3 linked regions of the Danio rerio genome follow. The protein of the gene in region 2 purifies or fractionates together with the protein of the main gene of each other region. This does not show direct contact. Links are inferred from orthologs where the notes say so. Each region holds a gene or a part of one and is shown on either strand. Other genes may lie near its edges.

Evidence for each region.
Region 1: the proteins of exoc2 (region 2) and exoc7 fractionate together in Homo sapiens (co-fractionation; 4 studies listed by BioGRID, with this or other methods). This does not show direct contact. The link is inferred for Danio rerio from reciprocal best matches to the Homo sapiens genes EXOC2 and EXOC7.
Region 3: the proteins of exoc2 (region 2) and exoc6 purify together in Homo sapiens (affinity purification with mass spectrometry; 5 studies listed by BioGRID and IntAct, counting the BioPlex papers as one, with this or other methods). This does not show direct contact. The link is inferred for Danio rerio from reciprocal best matches to the Homo sapiens genes EXOC2 and EXOC6.

Annotation. Positions count from the first base shown.
Region 1 is NC_133187.1:48,880,772-48,889,081, reverse strand, and holds part of exoc7 (exocyst complex component 7), read right to left. Parts: intron 7,082-8,310; coding exon 6,936-7,081; intron 5,079-6,935; coding exon 4,827-5,078; intron 2,668-4,826; coding exon 2,605-2,667; intron 2,512-2,604; coding exon 2,445-2,511; intron 1-2,444. UniProt on the Homo sapiens protein: Component of the exocyst complex involved in the docking of exocytic vesicles with fusion sites on the plasma membrane.
Region 2 is NC_133195.1:29,284,986-29,293,295, forward strand, and holds the end of exoc2 (exocyst complex component 2), read right to left. Parts: intron 7,273-8,310; coding exon 7,131-7,272; intron 5,159-7,130; coding exon 5,103-5,158; intron 4,747-5,102; coding exon 4,624-4,746; intron 4,537-4,623; coding exon 4,475-4,536; intron 4,384-4,474; coding exon 4,324-4,383; intron 3,650-4,323; coding exon 3,556-3,649; 3' UTR 3,347-3,555; downstream 1-3,346. UniProt on the Homo sapiens protein: Component of the exocyst complex involved in the docking of exocytic vesicles with fusion sites on the plasma membrane.
Region 3 is NC_133187.1:9,564,870-9,573,179, forward strand, and holds part of exoc6 (exocyst complex component 6), read right to left. Parts: intron 2,106-8,310; coding exon 1,994-2,105; intron 1,913-1,993; coding exon 1,778-1,912; intron 1-1,777. UniProt on the Homo sapiens protein: Component of the exocyst complex involved in the docking of exocytic vesicles with fusion sites on the plasma membrane.

The sequences.
Region 1 (8,310 bases), on a different chromosome or scaffold from region 2:
TATAAAATAATTCTAACAAAAGTTCTAATAACAGACTAAAATATAGCAAATCATTTATATTATATTATTTCATTATTATAATACAACAGTACTGTATTAAGTTCTATTATATTAATGTACATTTTAAAATAATCGATTAATAAAAAATAGAACAAGAAGTATTAATCGAGTGTTACGACTGAAGTTTATTTATTTATTATTGCGAATTGCATGTCTTTTTTTTTTGTCCCGCCTTCGTGTTGTTTTTCTGTTATCCTATAGGCTCCTCTACCGGTGTGATCCCGTGTTCTGATTGGCTGCTGGTCTCGGAGGCCTGTATAAAAAGGAGCCTCCGGCAGGGTTAGGGGAACTCATTTGTGCTGCGTTCGGTGCTGGGAGTGGAGCTCTTGGATTTCCCTTAGCCCTCCGGCCAACGACCAACAATCAATTTTGTACCATTATTCATACGTTTACCTAATTTGGAGAGTTTGAGCGTGTAGGGGTGGCCTGCCTATTTATTTGATTACTTTTGACTTTGTTTATGTTTAGGGAGAAAGGTAAGCTTCCTGTATTTAAAAAAATATATATAATTAGGTAATGTAGTGCATTTACTTTATACATTCTGTTGTTTGTTATTTTGGCCTGTGGCCACCCTGAAGAGATGCTCATATATATTTACTAAATTTTTCTATAATAAATATATTTATATACTCTCAACTGAGTGTCTGAGTTTGGTTGTCGACCGAAGGAAATCTTTTGCATTAAGTTTTTGTTTTGATTGGGAAATCCACCACCCAAACACATTTGTTTTCTTCGTTTATTATGCCCATGTTGTTTTCCCCTAGACTTGGGGCGTAATACGAGTAAAAGTAGACCGCAATTTCTGATTTCAGTCAAATGCTATTTGGTATTTATTTTAATGTTCACAGTATAGTGTAATGAACAAAGTATTAAGCAAGAATATAAAGAAATGTGCGTCCTCTATTTTTCTTTGAGCAGTTTATTGCCAATTAGAGACTAAACTGTTATTATATGCAGGATGGAAAGTGAAGGTCGAGGGGAAAATAGCTGAATATGATTTTTATAACATAATTCCAGAATATCACCTTGAGAAAAAAAATACAAAAAACAAAAGGAAAAAAGAAATGCAGACTGCAGGAAATGTGAAAAGATGACAAATAAGGAGACAGAAGGATGAGGACAGTAGCCTGTGTGTTATGAACATTAATGCAATAAGAACAGACATTTCAGCAGTCCAGTATACAGCTTAGATCTGGTCTTCAACTGTATAATGTGTCATTAATAAGCCAAGAATATTTGCAGCCGAAGTCAAAATTATTCACTCCTGTTATGTGATTTTGTTCTTTCTTTGTCAAATATTTCCCAAAGGATGTTGAACAGATTCAGGATTTTTTCACAGTATTTCCTATAATATTTTTTCTTCTGGAGAAAGTCTTATTTGTTTTATTTTGGCTAGAATAAAAGCAGTTTTTAATTTTTTAAAAACATTTTAAGGTCAATATTATTAGCCCCTTTACGCTATATTTGTTTTGGATGGTTTAGAGCAGGGGTGCTCAATCCTGTTCCTGGAGATCTACCTTCCTGTACAGTTTAGCTCCTACCCTGATCAAACCCACCTGAACCAATTAATTAGGACCCGAAATCCGCTTGATAATTATAGACAGGTGTGTTTGATAAGGGTTGCAACTGAAATCTGCAGGAAGGTAGATCTCCAGGAACAGGATTGGCCACCCCTCTCTGCTGAAAAATCTTGCTTAAACCAGCCTAGGCTGGTTGGCTGGTTTTAGCTGGTCGACCAGGCTGGTTTTAGAGGGATTTTGGCCATTACCAGGCTGGTTTCCAGCCATTTCCAGCCTGGTCTTAGTTGGTCAGGCTGGAAAATTACCAGCCAAATCCAGCTAAAACCAGCTTGGTTTAAGCTGGACATAGCTGGTTTTGGCTGGACTCCCAGCTTGGCTAGGCTGGTCAAGCTGGTTTGCCTGACCAGCTAAGACCAGGCTGGAAATGGCTGGAAACCAGCCTGGAAGTGGCCAAAACCCCTCTAAAACCAGCCTGGTCGACCAGCTAAAACCAGCCAACCAGACTAGGCTGGTTTAACCTAGATTTTTCAGCAGGGCTGGTTTAGAGAGTAAACCCCTGTTATACAATGACTTGGCTAATTACCCTAATTTTACCCTAATTAACCCAGTGAATCCTTTAAATGTCTCTTTAAGCTGTATAGAAGTGTCTTGAAGAATATCTAGTCTAATATTATTTACTGTCATCATGGCAAAGATCAAATAAATCAGTTATTAGAGATGAGTTATTAAAATTAGTATGATTAGAAATGTGTTTTAAAAATCTGCTTTTCGTTAAACAGAAATTGGGGACAAAACATACAGGAGGGCTAATAATTGTGACTTCAACTGTATGTAATGTCTGTTTTTCTGTAGTCTGTGTTTTACCCTGAGACGCCAGCATCGCTCCTGCTGTTTCCTGGAAATCCAGCAGCTGCTGCAGAAACAGGATTGCCTGACAAAATACATTAGGAGAAGACATTTATTTATAATAAAACACCACTTTGAGTACGTTTACTGCATGAAATGGACAATGAAGAGATCTTACATTGCTGGTCAGCTCATGCACAGTTCCATCTTTCGGCATGTTGTACTCTTTATCCGGATCATTCTGTCGGAGAGAAAAACATAATCAATATACAGTTAAAGTCAGAATTATTAGAACGCCTTTGAATTTTATTTTCTTTTTTAAATATTTCCCAAATGATGTTGAACAGAGCAAGGAAATGTTCACAGTATGTCTGATAATATTTTTTCTTCTAGAGAAAGTCTTATTTGTTTTATTTCAGCTAGAATAAAAGCAGTTTTTAATTTTTTAAACACCATTTTTAGGACAAAATTATTAGCCCCTTTAAACAAATTTTTTATCCAGTAGTCTACAGAATAAACCATCGTTATACAATAACTTGCCTAATTACTCTAACCTGCCTAGTTACCCTAATTACCCTAGTTAAGCCTTTAAGTGTCACTTTAAGCTGTATAGAAGTGTCTTGAAGAATATCTAGTCTAATATTATTTACTGTCATCATGACAAAGATAAAATAACTCAATTATTAGAAATGAGTTATTAAAATTATTATGATTAGAAATGTGTTGAAGAAATCATTTCTCTGTTAAACAGAAATTGGGGAAAAAATAAACAGGGAAGCTAATAATTCAGGGGGGCTTATAATTCTGACTTCAACTGTATATGGAATAATTATTGTCATTATGAAAGTATATAATTAGACTTATAAACCTATATAAAATTATAAATTAATATATGGGGGGGGGATGGGGGGGGGGTAGCAAGAAGGTCGCTGGTTTGAGCCTCGGCTGGGTCAGTTGGCATTTCTGTGTGGAGTTTGCATGTTCTCCCTGTGTGTGGTGTGGGTTTCCTCAGGGTGTTCCTGTTTTCCCCACAGTCCAGAAACATGCGCTATAGGTGAGTTGGGTAACCTAAATTCTCTGTAGTGTATGTGTGTGAATGATAGTGTATTGGTGTTTTACAGTGATGGGTTGCAGATGGAAGGCCATCCGCTGCATAAAACATATGCTGGATAAGTTGGCGGCCTCTGAATAATAAAGAGACTAAGCCGAAAAGCAAATGAACAAATTAATGAAAATTAAAATTTGATACTAAAGGTTGAAGATCAGAAGGGGGCAAGTGATATTTCATTTTAGGAAGGGGCCAAAACTGTTTAATTTAACAAAATGACTATATTTTGATCTTAATCTTGATTTTAATCTTTTATAATACATATTTTTACACACATGGATGAACAATATACTTGAATAGATAATATATATATTTTTAAATAATAAAAGAAAAATTAAATAATAAATTCTTAAATTATTATTACATTCATTCTATTGCATTAAATTTTTATTTAATTAAAATATTAAATAATAATAATTATTATTATTAATATTATTTTAAACATTATTAAATGTATCAACAACATAATAAATAGTATTATTAAAGAAAATAAATACAATATAACAAAATATTATTAATATGAATATAAATACTAATAACAGACTACTTAAATACAATTATTATATTATTTGTTGTATTATATTGATATGCACTATTAAATTATTAATAATAATGGTTTTAAATACACAATAATTAAGTATTATTCTTAATATTATTATTCTAATTATTATTAAAATGCATTATTTAAAATAATATGATAAATAGTATTATTAAAGAAAACAAATACAACATATTAATAATAATATATTTACTAATAAGAGACTATCAAAATACATTAACTATATTATTTGTTGTATTATATTAATATGCATTTTTTAAATAAGTAAAATAAAATAATAAACAATAATTAATTAACAAAAAACAATAATTGTTATAAATACACAATAATGAAGAATTATTTTAAATATTATTATTCAGAATATTATTAAAATACATGAGTAATAATTTTATAATAAATAAAAATGTTGGAGAAAGTAAATACAAAATAACAATAATAACATTAATATAAGCACTAACAACAAACTACTTAGACAAAAATTATATTATTTATTGTATTATATTAATATACATTTTAAAATAAGTAAAAATAACTGTTTTAAATAATTAATAATGAAGAATTAAATGATTAATAATAATAATACATATTATTGTTTTTAATAATTTAAACAAAATAAAACATTTTGAATATTTATTTAACTACAAATGATTAATTAAAGATTCACAAATATAAATATTTTACTAACAAACAACATAAATACAATTAAATATAAAAATATAGATGTAAAATGAACCTTAATGCTGTCAGCAAACTCTTCCAGTGCTTTCGCTCCAATAGTCTCCATAGAGGTGATGAGCGCCGGCAGCTTGTTTTTGGTGCTCGCCGCTGTTCCCTGCAGTGTGGCATCGAAGTCTGGTTTGGTCTGTTTGAGATGCCGTAAGATGGGGAAGATGGTCAGAACGGCGGAGTAATCGTGTCTCATGATGGCTCGACGCGCAGCAGACACGATATTATCACCTTCCAGCATTAAATTATCCAGCGCTTCCTGCAAACACACAACGCTGGGAGTCAACACACATGCAGGTCCACTCACGAATGGTCACATTTAAGCACTTTTTAAGCACTTTCTGGGTGTAATTACACATTTTTTTACATTTAAAATTATACATTTAAATAATATGTAAGCAAATTAGATATTTGCATACATATACATGCTATGATATACCAGATGATTTTTGTTTTAGTATTCTGTAGCACAGTATGGTAATCTAAGGAAAAATGTCAACCACATATTTGCCCCAAGTGTATTAAATTACTGCAGGGTTTTTCAAAGTCTAAGACAGTGGGCCTCCCTTTTGACACAACTTATCCATTGGCGCCCCCCTCCTCCCAAACACGCACGCACGCATATATATATATAAAGACACAGACAGATGTCAGACTGTTAACTCACTTTTATCATCATTTGCATGAAAGTGCAATTATTTACAGAGTAATAACAAGCATTTTAATATAACGTTTTTAAAACTAGGATGATGGTTCAATATGAATAGAACAGTTCCAAGAACTGTCCGTCCCAGTCAAAACAGTGGAAGTTTAGCGGGTCTCATGCTGTCATTGCCAAAATATTTTGACAAACCACACATAAAGGTCGTGGTTCCTCAGCTGGTCCTGTCCACGTAAATCCTAAACTCAAATACTGATCATCATATCGTTGTCTTTTGGGTTTAAGCCCTGAACTTGAAGGCTTTTGTGGCGAGGGGGCGTGGCCGAGCGCCGTGGGAACGGAGTGAGGCCACCGCGTAAGTGGATCCACCTGCGGTGCGCACCTGCCTCAGATCCCACGGAAGGAGCTCTGGATCATAAAAGGAGGAACAAGGGCAGAGGAAGCCGAGAGAGGACCGGACCCAAACATATTTTACTTTTGCTTTCAGTTTGACGGCAGTCTCCGTGAGGATCTGCCGTCCGTTTGTTTTGGTTTAGATGGAGCTGCCGTCACTGTCACTTTAAAACTGCTTCGGTTCTCCGCCTCCTTCCCGGCGGCCAAAGGGCCGTGAACTTCATTACAGTTTTGAATCGGGGTGGGTCTCAGAAACCGACCCAATGTATTAGCAGGCATATAATAAACGTTTAAATATAATAAAAAATACATATAATAATTAAACTTAATAATTATATTTTTATTATATTATATTTTTTCCTGCGCCTCCCCTGACATGCTTTGGCGCCCCCCAGGGGAGGCGCGCCTCACACTTTGAAAACCCCTGAATTACTGTCATTGACTCTCCTAAATGTCATTAAAACTGACATTTCTCCCTATAAAGAAAATCAGGGGTAAAATAATAAGTCGAATAACAAGAGATATAAGACAGTATATGGAAAAGGCCATACTGTGAGCCTCAGACACTGTTGTTTTCTCATTCTTGTGTAAATTGCATGAGTGTACAATCCCGATTGACAATCAAAACACAAGGCAGACTGCTGCGTGACTCACGGGCCACGCCTGCATCATCTGCATGTACTTTAAGTCATGTTCAAACGTCATCAGGAGATCACTAGCCAAAACACAGACTGATATGTTGGGATCATTAATACACGTTTGATAAGCCACAACATTTCCTAGTGAGACAACAATGATCTCTTTCCTCCCTTAGTTCTTTGTAGGTTTATTTTCAACTTACTATGTATGTGGGACTTTTATTTTGAAAATGAGAGATGCAGATTGTTTACTATGTGTTATTAAATAATGACAGACACGTTCAAACTCACGTCAGGACAAATGCAGGATTTATAGATTATAAATGTATACCCCACCCCCTCACAACCCCCCTGCATTTTTTCCATACCTTGAGAGAATACTAGGTTCAAATTCAAGGGTTATTAGCACTCACACAGCCCTGACCTGAATGAGCGAGTCGAAGGTTTTCTTCTGGTGGTGTTCAGGAATGATCTCGGTCAGTAAAGCGTATTCACTCTGAGCCAGCTTCACAAACGCACTGATGCAGTGGATGTAGGAGTCGATCTCGATGTCCAGCACATCATCTTTCCCTGAGATACACACACACACACACACGAATGTTAAAAAAATTACCAAGTGCTATAAAATGGAAAGAAGAAAAGGCTTTTAAATCATGATGACAGTGACATAATATTCTACTAGTTTATTGCAAGATACTAGCATTCAGTTTAAAGTAAATTAGAAACTAGGTTAATTAGGCAAGTCATTGGACATCAATGGTTTGTTCTGTTGCCAATCAAAACAATTAAAATATTAAGGAGGCTAATAATATTGACCTTAGATGTTAGCTGTTAGTTAATATTGATCCTTAGCTGGATTAATATATATATATATATATATATATATATATATATATATATATATATATATACATACACACACACACATACATACATACATACACACACACACACACACACACACACACACACACACACACACACACACACACACACACACACACACACACATATATATATATATATATATATATATATATATATATATATATATATATATATATATATATATTAATCCAGCCAAACTAAAAGAAACACGACTTTTTGGGGGAAAAACAAAACACAATAGGAAAAACTGTGAAAATGTTTCCTGCATTGTTGAACAGCACTTTAACTGCACATGCTAATTAACAAAGTTTTTTATTTTATTTACTTAAAACCACAACAACAACAAAATATTACAACTTTTAAATTCAAATATAGATAAACAAGTGTGCAGCTGTGTACTTACTTTACGCAAAACTTATAAAGGTTATACAAAAAAGTATTACGTAAAAGTATTACCTAGTATAAAAAAGAATGTGTATATGCACTCACCGGCCACTTTATTAGGTACACCTGTCCAACTACCTGGTAAATTTCTAATCAGCCAATCACATGGCAGCAGCTCAATGCCTTTAGGCATTTATACATGATCAAGATGATCTGCTGCAGTTCAAAGCAAGCATCAGAATGGGGAAGAAAGGGGATTTAAGTGACTTTGACGTGGCTTGGTTATTGGTGCCAGACGGGCTGGTCTGAGTATTTCAGAAACTGCTGATCTACTGGGACTTTCACGCACAAGCGTCTCTAGGGTTTACAGAGAATGGTCTGACAAAGAGGAAATATCCAGTGAGTGGCAGTGCTGTGGGTGCAAATGCCTTGTTGATGCCGGAGGTCAGAGGAGAATGGCCAGACTGGTTCCAGCTGATAGGAAGGCAACAGTAACTCAAATAAGCACTCGTTACAACCGAGCTCTG
Region 2 (8,310 bases):
CCTGTGAAAGACTAGTGATGACCTTTGAGAGACTAGTGATGACCTGTGAAAGACTAGTGATGGACTAGTGAGGAACTGTGAAAGACTAGTGAGGACCTGTGAGAGACTAGTGATGACCTGTGAGAGACTAGTGATGACCTTTGAAAGACTAGTGATGACCTGTGAGAGACTAGTGATGACCTTTGAAAGACTAGTGAGGACCTGTGAGAGACTAGTGATGTCTATGAAAGACTAGTGTGATGTTGTTTATCTACTACAAAATATAACTTTTATTTCCCATCTTTTTTTGCAACAATCATTGTTTTATGATCTTTTTGTTGAGAGGATTCTGTCTGAACAAACATCAGTGGACGTCACTCGTGCGTGTCTCTCCATCATTAGTGGGCTAACTGTGGCATCAGTGGTGGGCCAACTGTGCTTACCTAAGCTTAGCCAAATGGCATGAGGGGACCACCTTCAGCCCCCACTACAAACACTGGAATCCCCATGAACTTGAGGGGACATCATGCCCACAATGACATTCAACAGAAGCAGAATGTTTTCTGCTGATATTATAGACAGGGTGTGTATGTGAATGACAGCAGAGACACACAGGATGGTGTTTGTGGTTTTAGAGACAGGATGATGCGGGCAGTCTCAATTTGATGACATCACAAAGGAAAAGGCAGACTGACAGAAGCATTTATTTTTTTTCCTTCATTCTCAATGAAAACAACCTGTTTACCTCATTGGCTGTTTTTAACAATGCTGTGTACCATAAAGAACGACAAACTTGTAAATAAGCTCAAAGTGAGAACTTCACAATCTCTTGGAGACAGTTGAAGAATGGTGTCTTAAAAGCTTCATAACTCTACCTCTGTGATTGCAGCTTACAAGTACAGTACTTGTGTAAACCTGCAAAAGTGCAGTGAGATGATGGATACTGTACACAGCTTTTCCCAACAGTCAGTGTCTTGTTTGTTGATTTCTATTCTTTCTAAATTTAGAGTGCCTAACACCCACTCATTTAAGGGAAGCTGTTTGACAGAGTAGCATCAAAGCCTGCGTGGCACTAGGTGAAAAGGTGGGTGTATTGATGTCAGGCTCTACAGCTTAAGGGAAGTTTTTAATGATTGCACCTTTCCGCTCTGTAGGCAGCGGAAAATGATCCAAAACATGTTTATGTGTTAATGTAAAGCCGTGAGCCTGTAAACAGTGGAAAACTCGAAGAAATTTTGTTTGTGTGAGCTTACACATTTTCTCAGGATGTCCAATGCATTCCAACACAAACATAGTTATTTTTAAAATCAATGCAGATACATATGAGAAATATATTTTTGGTAGTGATTACATGATTTAAAGTTCAGGAAAATAACTGCATTCAGGACATTGCTGCAACACATCTTTTTTTCTGCTTTACCTGATAATTATTTTTTTCAGCCCAAACACAGAGAGATACCCACAAATCATCAGCTTATCAGACATTCCACAATCTCAAAAGCACAGATCCAGAATCTACAATTGGTGAAAACAAGCTAGAACAGAGGAGTAAGTGCAACCAAAGGAGTTATATTGGTGCCGTGACCCGGATGGGAGTGATTGTTACAGAGGCCATCTATTAAGACCTGCAGAGTTACGCCTCACTCAAAAACCATAAAATACACAAGACATGTCACTCATATAGTTCTGAATGGGGAAAAGTGTAACTGTCAATATGGCGAATGAAGCCCTGCCTACTGGAACAGGAGCCAATAACCGATCGCTATAGGACCAGACGTGTGCTTTTACGGCAATTTGGTGGTCAGCAAACACTGCAATCTCAGTGAATACTTGCTTCAAAGACATAAGAAATATATCCACATAGAGCTTGAAATCTGTACTTTTAAATGAACCAAGTGCACTTGAAAACGAAAGATTTTTCTGGTTTTGTAATCTATATGACAAACGCAAGGTAGAGTTTGTCCTGTCAAACGCACATCACATGACAGCAACTACTCAATACGCCACAAAATGAGGTTGAGTGTGCACGCGCATTAGGGCAACCTGAAAATATGCAGATCTTGTTTGATTCGGACGTTCAGAAACGTAACTTATGAAACAGTTGTTGTTTAATTTTATTGGTGATTCCAAACATGCAATGTAATCGTACACTTGGCAAACATTTTTGGTAGAATTTGATGTTTTTCCTTTCAGACAGAATGCCTGAGCAAACTGCCCGAGAGTTGTTTCAAAGATGGCCGCCAAGGGAAATGACTAGCTTTTAAGGGAATTTGCTTCACTCCACTGGCCTTTAAGAGGTGCTCTAGCAACTAATTCAAGAGATTGTGGTGTTTGCCTCCCATGCCAAAGACACCAACTCTAATCCCCTTCTGAGTAGACGGGTACAACCGCAGGGCTTAAACTGCTGCCATGATCCTAGTAGGATTGAGTGAAACAGAGATCAGCAAGAAAGATTTGTATCAGTAGGCCTCAGAGGCACACTAAGCAACTAATGCTAAAGTGGCCTTGCAAGTGCACCCTTTGTCCATGCAAGAGATGCTGGATGAGGTCTTCAGCGGCTGATTTATTCTGGTCTTTAGAATGCTTGATATTTTGACTGTCTCCCATGAATCTGACTCAAACATGCAATTGCGTAAGATGTTATCATCTAAGTCACTTCATCAGGGGTGTTCAATCCTGTTCCTGGAGATCTACCTTTCTGCAGAGTTAAGCTCCAACCCTGATCAAACACAACTCAACTAATTAATCAGCATCTGAATAGTACTTGATAATCGCAGGCAGGTGTATTTGATATGAGTTGCAACTGAAATTTGCAAGAAAGTAGATCTCCAGGAACAGGGTTGGACACCCCTGCTCTACATAATGGCAGAGCAACAAACAAGAAGCTTCAGGTAAGTGATTTCTATTGAAGAGGTTAAATACCTTTTTTGAAGACTTTGTGCTTTGTAACTTTACAGATTGTTTACTAGCACAAAAAGCCTATATAATAAAATAAAGGTTAAATAAAAAAATCATATTAACTCAGTGTCTAGCGTGTGTTCTAATCAGTTATTTCTTTAACTCCCAAACCACATGCCAGTGCTCTTTGAGTGAAGGCCACCTCCCAGCATTAAACACTTCCTCAAGGTGGCAGGGTGTGTTTCTTTCCATCTGACACCAGACAGGGTGTGTGCATGCATCAGTGGTCATAATAGACTTCAAGAGAAACGACTCTTTTGAAAAAAGAAGACAAGAGTCATTTCTGAACTCAACCGTATCATCCACAAAATGCAAAACTCTGCAAATTTCTATCCCTTTGACACGAACACAAAAACAGAATCCTGGCACATTTCTTGCACATTAATGTACATTAAAAACCCACTCAGTGTAAGCATACATGAATTTATTTTAGTTTAAACCAAAACTGTGATCATTAAGGTGAATGAAGAGGCAGTACAACTGGTCAAGTTAATTATTCTGAAAGGAAAAAGCTATTTTAGTGGCACTAAATTGGCTTTTAATGGTTTTTAAAATTGAAATGGTTTCTTAGTGTTACAATGCAAAAGAGTAATTGAAATGTTGGCGCTTTGTGAAGGTTTATCGCTTTACAGGCTGAAATGAGGCAGGCTTGAAGCAATTTAGCTGCAGCTTCATACTGCTCTTAAACTTATTCAGTAGCTCCTCCAAGAGTCTGAGAAAAGAGAAAGAGATACATGTAGAAAAGAGATATTAAAAAACACTCTGGTAAACACAAAATACTCAATTCTAAGTAATGTTCCAGGATAAAACCAAAATTGATTTGTGTAGACGTATGATCTGATTCTACTGATGCACTACTGGCTGGTTTAAAATCAAGCGTAATTTGTAATCTTCAGTTTTGGCTAAATGTAAAGATGTGTTGGCCCAGCCAACCTGACAGTTATCATTTTAACTTGCCCTTGCATTTTCACTACCCCTCCACAAATGTTATTATTTAAAAATAAACATAACCACTTGAAATTTTGAGGTCACGAGGATTGAGTTCAGAAAAAACACATTAAATTGATAGTAATAATGGTTATAATGTTTAAAAAAACGTCAAATGCTGTACTTGTAAACTCTCTTATTGATCAAAAGATACAGTAACATTTAATCAGAGAATTTCCAGAAAAAATAAGCAGCAAAACCATTTTCAACTTTTGATTTCTAGAGCACCAATCTGCATAATAAAGTCATTCCTAAATTATCACAATTAAATGGTTTTAATAATCATCATCCCCATTTCTAATAATCTCTAATAGCAGTTAGTATTAAATATTAAATAGTTTTGTGTTATCAGTGTCAAGGTTTCAGTCATGTTTGTAACTATACTGAAGTGTAACTTACTTTTTGTCAGCTCCACTCTGTAGCTGTGGAAGCGCTTCCAATGCCTGCTTAAAACTAGTGCTGAGACACAAATGAAAAGATCATGAGCATTAACATACTAACAGTTTTCACCTTTTCTGTTTAAATTTCTCATTGCAGTCGCATGTCTTACCAGCTCTCTGATGAGAGATAGGGCTCTATAGCATCTCGCAAAGCACAGATCTCCAGACGCGCCTCGAGAGAGTAATATAAAAAGGGTAATGTCAATTTTAGTATTTTCAGATCAAATGCTTATTGTGTATGTGAAGGATGCTACCATACCTGCAAGGCACCATTTTTACTAAAAGAAGACACACACTGCATGAGGCGACTCATTTCTTCTGCTACAGCCTCGATGATCTTTGAAAGAACACGAGAAACCAGCTCCTTGGAAACTGTGAAAACCTGGGCAAAAACAGAAGAATACAGAAAATCTATGTTGACCTATGCTACAAATAAATGAAGAATTAGTTACATAATAGAGTATTTTAAAATTAAAAATGTATTTTAATTTGTACTTCTGCAGCTTAGTGAGCAAAACTTTACTTTTTAAAAAAAAAATGTTGAACTGTGGTGTACATTTACAGTTGATTTATATGCTTTTTTTATGCCAAGTCTGATGAAATAATTTTCCAGAAAGCATAGTTTGCATATCCTTTAAATGCTGTAAACAGCTCTCTAGAGTTTTGAATAGAACATGTGCCTTTTTTCTGGAGTAAGGTCTAAAAAGTCATCTTTTACAGAAGGGTTTGTTCTCTCACCTCAGCATGAACAGAGATGATGCTGACCAAAGCCTCCTTCAAATAACTCCTCACGCCTGAGTCAGAAAGAGAGAAAAAAAAATGGGAAAAGGTTGATCAATGAGTTAATTCATTTAGGACATACAGAGAAGCTTCATGTTTGTGCATGTTTCATGTATATTAATTACTTAATTTCAATATTAATAAACTGATCTGGAGAAATGAAGACACTGGCTGATGAGTTCTAGGCTTAGTGGAAGTGTACCGTTCACCACTTACATAAAAAAGTCAATCCATCCATCCATCCACTTCATTATGTACACCTGTCCAACTGCTTGTTAAAACAAATTTCTTTAAACATGTCATGGTTGTTGGTGCTAGATGGGCTGGTCTAAGTATTTCAGAAACTGCAGATCTACTAGGATTTTCACGCACAACCATCTCTAGGGTTTACAGAGAATTGTCAGAAAAAGGGAAAAATATCCAGTGTGCAGCAGTTCTGTTGCCTCAAATGCCTTGTTGATGCCAGAGGTCAGAGGAGAATGGCCAGACTGGTTTGAGCTGATAGAAAGGCAACAGTAACTTAAATAACCTCTCGTCACTACCGAGGTATGCAGAAGAGCATCTCTAAATGCACAACGCGTCCAACCTTGAGGCAGGTGGGCTACAGCAGCAGAAGACCACACTAGGTGCCCCTCCTGTCAGTTAAGAACAGGAAACTTACATTTGCACAGGCTCACCAAAATTGGACAATAGAAGATTGGAAAAACGTTGCCTAACGAGTCTTGATTTCTGCTGCAGCATTAGATGGTAGGGTCATAATTTGGCATCAACAACATGAAAGCATGGATCCGTCCTGCCTTGTATCAACGGTTCAGGCTGGTGGTGTAATGGTGTAAGGATACTTTCTTGGGACACTTTGGACCCATTAGTACCAATTGAGCATTGTGTCACTGCCACAGCCTACCTGAGTATTGTTGCTGACCATGTCCGTCCCTTTATGACCACAGTTTACTCATCTTCTGATGGCTACTTCCAGCAGAATAATACGAAATGTCATAAAGCACGAATCATTTTACACTGGTTTCTTGTACATGACAAAACGTTCACTATACTCAAATGGCCTTCACAGTCACCAGATCTCAATCCAATAGAGCACCTTTGGGATGTGATGGAATTGGAGATTCATATCATAGATGTGCAGAAGGCAAAACTGCAGCAACTGCGTGGTGCTATCATGTCAAAATGGACCAAAATCTCTGAGGAATATATCAAGTACATTATTGAATCTATGCCACGAAGGATTAAGGCAGTTCTGAAGGCAAAAGGGGCTCCAACATGGTACTAGTAAGGTGTACTTAATAAAGTGGCCAGTGGGTCTGTCTGTCAGTCTGTCTATAATATTATTTTATTGCATACTTGCCAATTTTTTTATCATTTAACATTTTTAAAACAAGTGCGATGCTCAATATTTTTGTGGTAATACATCATTGTTCAGGGTATAACCTTGAAAAGAACTAAAATCATCTCAAATAGACATCATTTGTAGAATTATAAACATATTTACCATCTCTTGTTAAATACATCCATATTAAAAAACTCTGATGAACAGCGGTGACATTAGTTCATGCCAGTGCATTATATTTTTATATTTCGGAGATAAATATGTTTTTCAAACGGATCAGTGATCAGAACTAAACATGAGCAGTGGTGAAAGAAAAATGGTTGATTTTGCACAGATCACCAAGTTCTTCATATAACAACTCAGAAGCAGGAAACGCTCTTGCAATACCCAAATGATTTAGCAGCCAATAGAATTCAAGTCTGCACCACAAAAACTAAATATACACACAGGCACACAACCACGACTGAAACTCTGACACAAAAGCAATGACAACACACTGAAACTGCAGAATCAAGAACAGCTAACGTGTGGATGTTTCTCTATTAGTACCATCTTCAAGGTGGTGCACTTTTAACATTCAAATAGCAAATGTAAACTTCGAGAAACATCCACAGAGTGCTGTCAGCATCCAGAAAACACGATACCTGTAGGAAGCAGGCAGTCTTTCCAGTCAAAATAACCTGCGTAGATCCCGGTTTCCAGAGAGCCGACGATAGGATCAGACTTCTTCTCGATGTACATCTCAAACAGATCATAATCCAGCTGTCTCAGCGCATCTATGCTGACCTGAAGAACATGTTCAGATTAATCGCAAACCATTGCCCCTTTTCACAGATCATATAAAAAACTATTCTGTAACTGTGATCTGTATTTCAGCTTGTCTTGATTAAGAATCATAATTTTGACCTTCTGTTTAATTGTTCTGAAAATATCTTCTTTCTTTGAGATTTTAAAAAGCATAAGCACAAGTTTTATTTACCTTTTCCTACTGAATTTTTCCTACTGAATTTACTTTCCAACTGAATGAATGATGGTCACTAGAGTTTAGCAGTCTTCACTGCAGTCCTCTGCTCAAATTACAGTGATATACAGTCAGTATTTGTAACTTCACAAAGCCGTTGGTGCTTTTTGCAGATAGTTCATCTGTAATTAATGCCATAAATCCAAACATTAATCTTGACTATCCTCTAAATAAATTTGCTTATGCATCTATTTTTGTGCTACAATTATAAGTAAACTTGAATATAATTTGGAATTATTGGCATTACTATTAGAAACTGTATCAGCTTTTGCAGGAGGCTACTTAAAATTATACCAGTTTTCATAATATAGACCAGGGGGTGTCAAACCTGCCCTGCAGAGTTTAGTTCCAACCCTGCTCCAACACACTCACCTGTAGGTTTCAAACAAGCCTGAAGGATTTAATTAGTATGATCAGGTGTGTTTAATTAGGGCTGGAACTAAACTGTGCAGAGCTGCTGTCCTCCAGAAACTGAGCTTGACACCTGTGATGTAGACAAAGTATAATGTATGATCAATATAATAAATCTGGAAAACAGACGAGGTAAAATAAACCCTCCAAAGATTTAATGTTCTCTTAATTAATAAAAGCACAAAAATTATTATGCAGCCCTACATACTGTACAAGACTCTTTCCTGTAAATGACACTTGAAAAACTATAATCACTAACATCACAAACAATCATCCCCCTTCGCACTCTTCTTGCAGAATGAGTAGAGACCACTCATGCATGTCCATTATTTAGACATGTGCTAAGATTTAGGGACGTTTTCAAAAAAACCAGAATGGAAAGCACCATTTCA
Region 3 (8,310 bases), on a different chromosome or scaffold from region 2:
AAATGTCAGTATCAACAGAAATTAAGTAAACAGTCTACTACTACACAAATGGACCATCAAAATACCTTGTCTTGAACTCTAAATATACACATATATCTACTTTTTATGGAAAGTTTATGGAAATGCTACTTTTGAGTTACATTTTTTTTATACCTGCTTGAGGAGCTGCATTTAATGACACACTGTATAACCTACACCTTCATTTACCTAAATTAAAAACTAATAAAATAACTTGTCAGGTTACTGAAAGCAATGTGTTTGCTACTTTTGCATTTTTGTCTTATTAGTTCAGTAAAATCACTGTCCATTGAGACTTTAATCCCCTTTTCTTCCATGTGTTCAAAATGACCAGAATATTTCCATCACAGAAATGTAAGGCTCTGCCATCTTGTTTTCTGTCTGTTCTCGTGGGGATCTCATTTTCTGATTGAGTGTGATTTAACATGATTACACAAATTTTAATACAGCAAATTATTTTTAAAAGCGTATTAATTAATCCAAAATGTACTTTTACTCTTAGAAAAGTAATATTATTACAGAACTTGCGTTATCCCCAACACTGTGTATACACACACACATGTTTGTTTTTGTGAAAAGTGAGGACATTACATGTGTTTCTATTAATTTTATACTGTCCAAACCGTATATTATATTGCCCTCATCCCACCCCACCCCTAAACCCAACCATCACAGGAGACAGTGGACAGCTTTACTCTCTGATTAAACTCATTCTGTAGAATTTATAAGCATTTTGAGAAATGAGGACGTCACTAATGTCCTCATATTTCACCTCCTTTTTGTAATACCTGTGTCATACCCATGTCATTATACAGATTTGTGTTCTGATATGTCACAAAAACATGTACACACACACACACACACACACACACACACACACACACACACACACACACACATATATATATATACATACAGTTGAAGTCAGAATTATTAGCCCCACTTTGAATTTTTTTTTTCATTTTTAAATATTTCCCAAATGATGTTTAACAGAGCAAGGAAATTTTCACAGTATGCCTGATAATATTTTTACATCTGGAGAAAGTCTTATTTGATTTATTTCAGCTAGTTTTCAATTTTTTAAAAGCCATTTTAAAGTCAAAATAATTAGTCTACAGAAAAAAAACATCGTAATACAATAACTTATTACAGGCTAATTACCCTAACCTGCCTAGTTAACGTAATTAACCCAGCTAAGCCTTCAAATGTCACTTTAAGCAGTATAGAAGTGTCTTGAAAAATATCTAGTAAAATATTATTTACTGTCATCATGGCAAAGATATAAGAAATCAGTTATTAGAAATGAGTTATTAAAACTATTATGCTTAGAAATGTGTTGAAAAAAGCTACTCTCCGTGAAACAGAAATTGAGGGAAAAAATTAAACAGGTGGGCTAATAATTCTGACTTCAACTGTATATATATGTATTCAATGTAAAACAACGAAATGTGAAAATTCTTATGTAACTCTTTATAATCAAACTTAAGCAATAGGAACAAGCTGCTGCGCGTTTAATGACTCAAAAAAGTAGGTCATCGGAAAACACCGCCGTTTAGACACATTTAACACCCTGGAATCAAAACAAGCTCTTGATGGAGTTCATGAGGCCTGAGGCGGCTGCTGTCCCTGGAGTCGATGACAGTTTTCTCTGAATACAACACACCACTCCAGACGGCAGACCTCTGATCACAGTGAGCCCATGGCAGAATTGCGGCAATACGACCGTAATTAAAGAACATGTCTGTGAATGACTTTTTACCTTGAAGGTGGAAAGCCCGTAAAGTCTTGTGGTGTGAACCGTTTCCGGGGAAACATTGGTGATGTTCGTGATAAAATCCTCCAGGTATTTACATGCGTGCTCTAAGTGGGTGGTGTTGATGATGATTTGAACAAGCTGCAAACATAAAAAAAGGTGTGTCATTTTCAAACTGGGCTTCAACAGGCAGAATGAGGCAAGTCTTCGCATCAATACTACCTCTGTTAATCCAATGTGTGGTTTTTTGATGAGGTTTTGTAAGCAGCTGCTCAAGGTCCTCGTCAACAGCAGGTTGGTGGATTTACGGAGCATGTCGTCGATCTCGGTTGAGCTGAAACAAAAATAAAAAAACAAATATGTTCAGTCAAGGCATAGTTTCGTAAAGCTTATTATGATTTTTTTAAGTCATGGTAATATATAACCAGGGCGGAAAATGCTATGGTTCCATCCAAAAATGCAAAGTAGACTTATGCACAAAACTGAAATATCACATAAAACGTTTGTGAATAAAGTAGTGTTTCCATCCAGTGAAACAAAAATAAAAAATAAATAAAAATGAAATCGCCACTTCCTGATCATATATAATCAGGTGGAAAATAGCTATGTTTGCATTCAAAAATGCAAAGTAGGATTATGCACAAAACTAAAATATCACATAAATTTTTTTTGAATAAAGCACCATTTCCATCCAGTGAGACACAAAAATATTAATTAAATATTAATTAAAAAATTATAAAACTGAAATTTCACATAAAACATTTGCGGATAAGATACCATTACCATCCAGTGAGACAAAATATTACTAATAATAATAAAATAATAAAAAAATAAAAATAATTTATATACATAACTAGGGGGAAAACCAGGGGGAAAATAGCTGTTCCCATCTAAAAATGCTAAATATACTTATGCAAAGAACTGGAATATCACAAAAACATTTGCGAATAAAGTAGTGTTGCCATCAGGTGAGACAAAAAAAAGAAAAATTTCAAAAATAAATAAATAAAACCATAATAAAAATGACACTTCCTGATAATATATAACCAGGGGGAAAATAGTTTTCGCACAAAACTTAAACATCTCATAAAACATTTGCAAATAAAGCACCATTTCCATCCAGTGAGACACAAAAAAATTAATTAAATATTAATTAAAAAAATAAAAATAAAACAAATTTTACATAAAACATTTGCGAATAAGATACCATTTCCAACCAGACAAAATAATAATAATAATCAAATAATTTTAAAAATATAATTAATTTATATACATAACCAGGGGGAAAATAGCTATTCCCATCCAAAAATGCAAAATATACTTATGCACAGAACTAGAATATCACAAAAACATTTGCGAATAAAGTAGTGTTTCCATCAGGTGAGACCACAAAACAAAAACAAAAAAAAAAACAAAAAAACAATACAATACAAAAAAAAAAACAATAATAAAAATGACACTTCCTGATAATATATAACCAGGGGGAAATTAGCTTTCGCACGAAACTTCAATATCGAATAAAACATTTGCAAATAAAGAAGTATTTCCATGTAGTGAGACAAAAAAATGTAAACTATAATAATAATAATAATAATAATAATAAAAATATATTTTCTGATAATATATATATATATATATATATATATATATATATATATATATATATATATATATATATATATACCAGGAGGAAAAAATTGCGGTTTCCATCCAAAAATCAAAGTAATCAAATGGGATTAAAAAAATGGGATACTTGCTGTTTCCATTAAGTATTTTTTTCAAGGTATTTCAAACTAAAATAAAAATAAAAAATGTACTTTAGAGCAGTAATCTCAATACTGTGAAACTGTAAAATTTTTATCCAAAGTTATTATAATGTCAGAATCTTATAGCAGCCCATGCATAATCTTATAATCAGCCCTAGAGTCAAGGTAAGTAAATTATGTCATGGAGTGTACTGAGTATAGTATGCCTGCTGTCTGCACTCATTAGCACTGCCGTAGCCCTACTGTTGTCCAGCTTGCTTGTAAGGTGTGAGTGTTTACAGGACACCGCTGGCTGGTGTTGATTTTGCGGTTGGAGAGCGTGTGTCTCAGCATGAGGTGTTGATTAGGGGGAGTGATCAGGTGGAAAATGCTCCATGAAGAGGCGCAGAGGTCGCTCATTATCGCTTGCTTAAATAACAAAGAAACCATTAGAGAGGAGTGTGAAATCTCCAGTCGTTTGCATTGATTAGAGAGGCACAGGAGGAGAAAAGACTGTTGGATCAATTAATAAGTGTTCTGACTGCCTCATGTGGGTCTCCTCAGTCCTCATACCGTTCAAAGCAAAAGAGGTTTCATCGTTTGGCCTGCTGTCTGTGGAAATGTTTGGGCCAGCATTGGCTAAAGAATCAGCAATGGCGGAAAAGGGAAATATGAAAGATCTGTGTTATAGATAAAGCAACTATTGTGTCTGGCTCTCGAATCCGATTGGCTGATGGTCAGGCCATATTCTACAATAACAGCACTCGTACAGCCTCCTTCTGTATTACTCCGCCCACATAGAGTGACAGCAGATCAATATTCATTACAGTTTGACAGACATTGCAGCTGTTGGACAACATAAAGTAGTTTTAGGGCTTTTATGTGAGAATGTAATTGTTTATATTGCAGTTTATTTATAAGGAAAGTGCCTATTTTAAATATTTATAACTTCAGAGATACAGAGCGTCGGCATTTATCAGACTGTCATACTGAGCAGAGCAAAGACGGCTGACGTTCCGCCGGAAGATGGCGACAGAGACCGCATAATAAGCCCTAAGAGGAGAAAAACTCAGCGTAGTTTGAAACTACAGCTGATCAATTCATTATTAAACAGATAAGTGACATCCTAAGTCAATCTCTCTCTTGTATGTTGTAGTGCTGTAGTTATACTATAGTCTGGTGGTGTTTCTGGTAGTCTTTGTTTTGCTCTGGCTTTGTCGGGGTTAATTATTTCTCAATTGCAACAGAGAACTAGTGGGAAATGTCTCTAGACTGATGGCATTTTTTGCCGTTCAGCCTTATAATCTTAAAATGTGAGCAAAACCACCTGTTTTGTCATCCCTTTAGATATTACACTAGAGAATCATTCAAATACTAGCTTTAAAGTGACGTTTATGAAGGATCAACAGCTTCTGCTGTTCTGACGTCAGCTGCAGATGTAAATGAATGGCAGAAGACAGTAGTTCCTCATACAAAAGATTTGATTTTCTATTTTATTTACACGATTATGTCTTTGAACTGTTGTATAAATGCAATATCATACTCGTTGCGGTGCGATATATGGCTCGGAACTGGTGGGGGGCAATAAGGCACTCTATTATATGACACACACTAGTATATGAATGTAATATTAATATAATATAAATTCACACTATTATAAGTGGTTATAAAAGTCACTTTGTTAACAGTAGAGTTTAATTTTAAATAATCAAAAAGTTTACAGATCAAGGTCCCATAATGCAATAAGAAAGCATACATAAATAGAAAACACAGGTGAATGAATTTTAAATCTTGGACAAGTATTGTAATATGTCAATAATAAAATCAATAATAATATATTAATTAAAATCATTTGAAGTCATTCTTGGTTAGCGCAATATATCGTTTCAGCATCGAAGTCTGCAATAGTAACATAGTCGCAGAGATCTGCAATGTACTTGGAATTATAGTTGACCAGACATTACAGTTACAACACAGCAGAGTCATTTCATGGTAATGATTTCGGCTGTTCTGCCGTCAGCTGCAGATGTCAATGAATGGCGGAAGGAAGTAGTTCCTTGCACAAAAAGGTTTTTGGGACTCTCTGTGTTTGATTTTCTTTTTTATATACACAACAATGCCGTCAAACTGTTGTATAAATGCAAAATCACCGGATAGCAGTGCAATATAGCTGTATATCAGCACTGGTGGGACACTAAGGCACGCCTCCAACCAGTGCCGATATAAAGCCATATCGCACTGCTACACATGTGATATTTCTTATTCATATATATATATATATATTGTCTATTTTAATACACCTGTACATACATTGTTCATTTGCATATTTTATTCTTATTTTTATATTGCTTGTTACTTTTTAAACTCCTTTATTATATATTTTTCCCCATTACTGTCATTCTATTGCATGCATTGCTTATTCTCTGTATGTGTTTGTAACATTATTTTCCTGAAACTAGAAAATAATTAGAATATAACTTTAAACATAATATGAAAACCTTATGGGTTGTGCAAAAAAAGCAAAAATAATAAAGCGACAAATCCCATCACGTAGTTTAAAGATGAAAATAATCTTTAACCTAAAATAATCTCTCTTAAAATAAGAGCAAATCAAATGCTGAAAAACAAAAAAAAGATATAATTTTAAAAAGTTATTAAGATAAAACACTACTTGATATATGACATCCAATTCACCTAAAACATTGCAAATAATGTTAAAAAGCAACAGTAATCAACACGTCACCATTTTCCTCAGAAAACATTTCTAGAGATGCTGCTGACTTGAAATTTTCACCTGATGTTGGTAACAACCAAAGAAATCCATATATGAAAGGAAAACAAATCTAATTAGTTTACAAATGAAGTTATGTGTAATAAAATGACAAAGCAAAATATTGAACACATAAAGAAAGGGAAGTGTAGAAAGGCAGTGAAAGCCCAGACAGCAGCTGAAATCTCTCAGTAGTTCTTCAGCAAACCTCTGTCCTTCATCAGCGTAAAGTAATATTAGCGGCTTCAGTCCAACATCCACAATACCAGGATGGCGAAGATCAAATAAGAATGGACATTTCAGTAAGACAATGATCCAAAAAACAGCCAAGGAATCTCTCAAATGCTTTCAGAAAAAGAAAATCAAGCTATTGACCTTATTCTAAAATGCGGAAGTGCGCCTGTTTTCACGATTGTCTTAGAACTTCAGATTCAGTCGCCTATGGGGGAAATGACTACGAATAATAAACAGCAGCAAAACGGTCAAATTACTTGCTCTACAAACAAATGTTTGCATGAGCAGTTTTTAACGTCAAAAAATGAATGGAAGTGAATGAGACCGGAAGTCTCAAGCCAAAAAGATTCAAATGGCAGCGCCCGCTCATCGGAGAAGAATAAAGTGAATAGAATGGCCCAGCCAATCACCTGACCTGAATCCAATAGAAAATACAAAATAAAGATTATGTTGTGAAAAGAGGCAAGACGATTAGACTTCGACAAAGCAACCGATTGCTCCATATTTTACATTTATTTACAGAGCCCTCATGTTTTGATCTTCTAATGGTCGATGGTTCAACAAGCTTGAACTTTGGAATGCAGCGACATACCAGACTTGATGCACAAACTCGCATTTCCGGTCTGCCGCATTCGTGTGCGTACGAATGGAAGTCTATAGGTGAAAAGTGCAGTGCGACTATAGCTTTATGCTAGAAAAGCTGTTGCTGCAAAAAAGTTGCAGCTTTAAGTACAATTACATCCTGATACACCAGATGACCTTGGATCTCTGTTGATCAACAGGGCTGCTTTGTCTGTGATGGACGGCGGGAGGTAAAATCCACCAGCTATGTGCACTTCTAACCCTCTGGGAAAGAATTTGGGGTGCCAATGACAAGCACAACACAGACCCCTCACAACGGCCAGCCGAATGCCACAGAGCTTAAAGAGAACAAATATTGGCAGAAGGGATGGCTGGAGGTGAAGGGGAGGGTGGCGCTTTTAAAGACAGACTCAAACCCGTAAATAAAGGCTTCCCATGGAGAGAGTCATGTCACAATAACAGCTCCACAAGCCCATACTGACAGGTCAAGAGATGAGTGACAACTGACTGACAACTTCTGTCTTCTGTTTGGTTAACAAGAGCGATTCTGGTGACACTTTACCTAAAGGGGTGTTCATAAGACATTCTTAAGAGGTGACATTACACATTTATAATCAAGATACATGGCATGAATATGAACAAGATTGTATGCGTGCTTTTGAAAACTGTCATATACATTAATGCAGAGTTCAGACTGCATGATTTTCAAGGTAATCGTTTCACAGATGTTTTCACACTGCATGACTATCTGGGTTAGCGTTTTGTCACTGCTTTGTTTACACTGCAAGATGAATCAGGGGGTTTAACACTGCATGACTTTATAGGAATAGGAAGTATCGCCGACAACTTTGCCCAAACGACATCTCACAACCAAAAACATGTAGTATTTCTTTTGTTATTACCTACATAATGAGAAAGAAGCTTTTAATGGAGTAGAAAATGTGCATATTTGCTCACCTGGGTTTGAAGGGAATTAGCAATTTCCCCTCAGCTTTTTCTTTTTTGACCTGGTTGTGGTATTGCTCACGACACGTCAAACAGACACAGGTGCTGCTGACAAATTTTCACTCATTTTCTCCACATTTCTTGGGTCCAAATCAACTGTTCATAAGCACTTTTAATTTCTCCTATAACCTCCCGCTGACCTGCAGATACCCACACTAGAGGATGCTGCTCTCTCATTGGCTGTAGGTGATCGCCGATGTTAT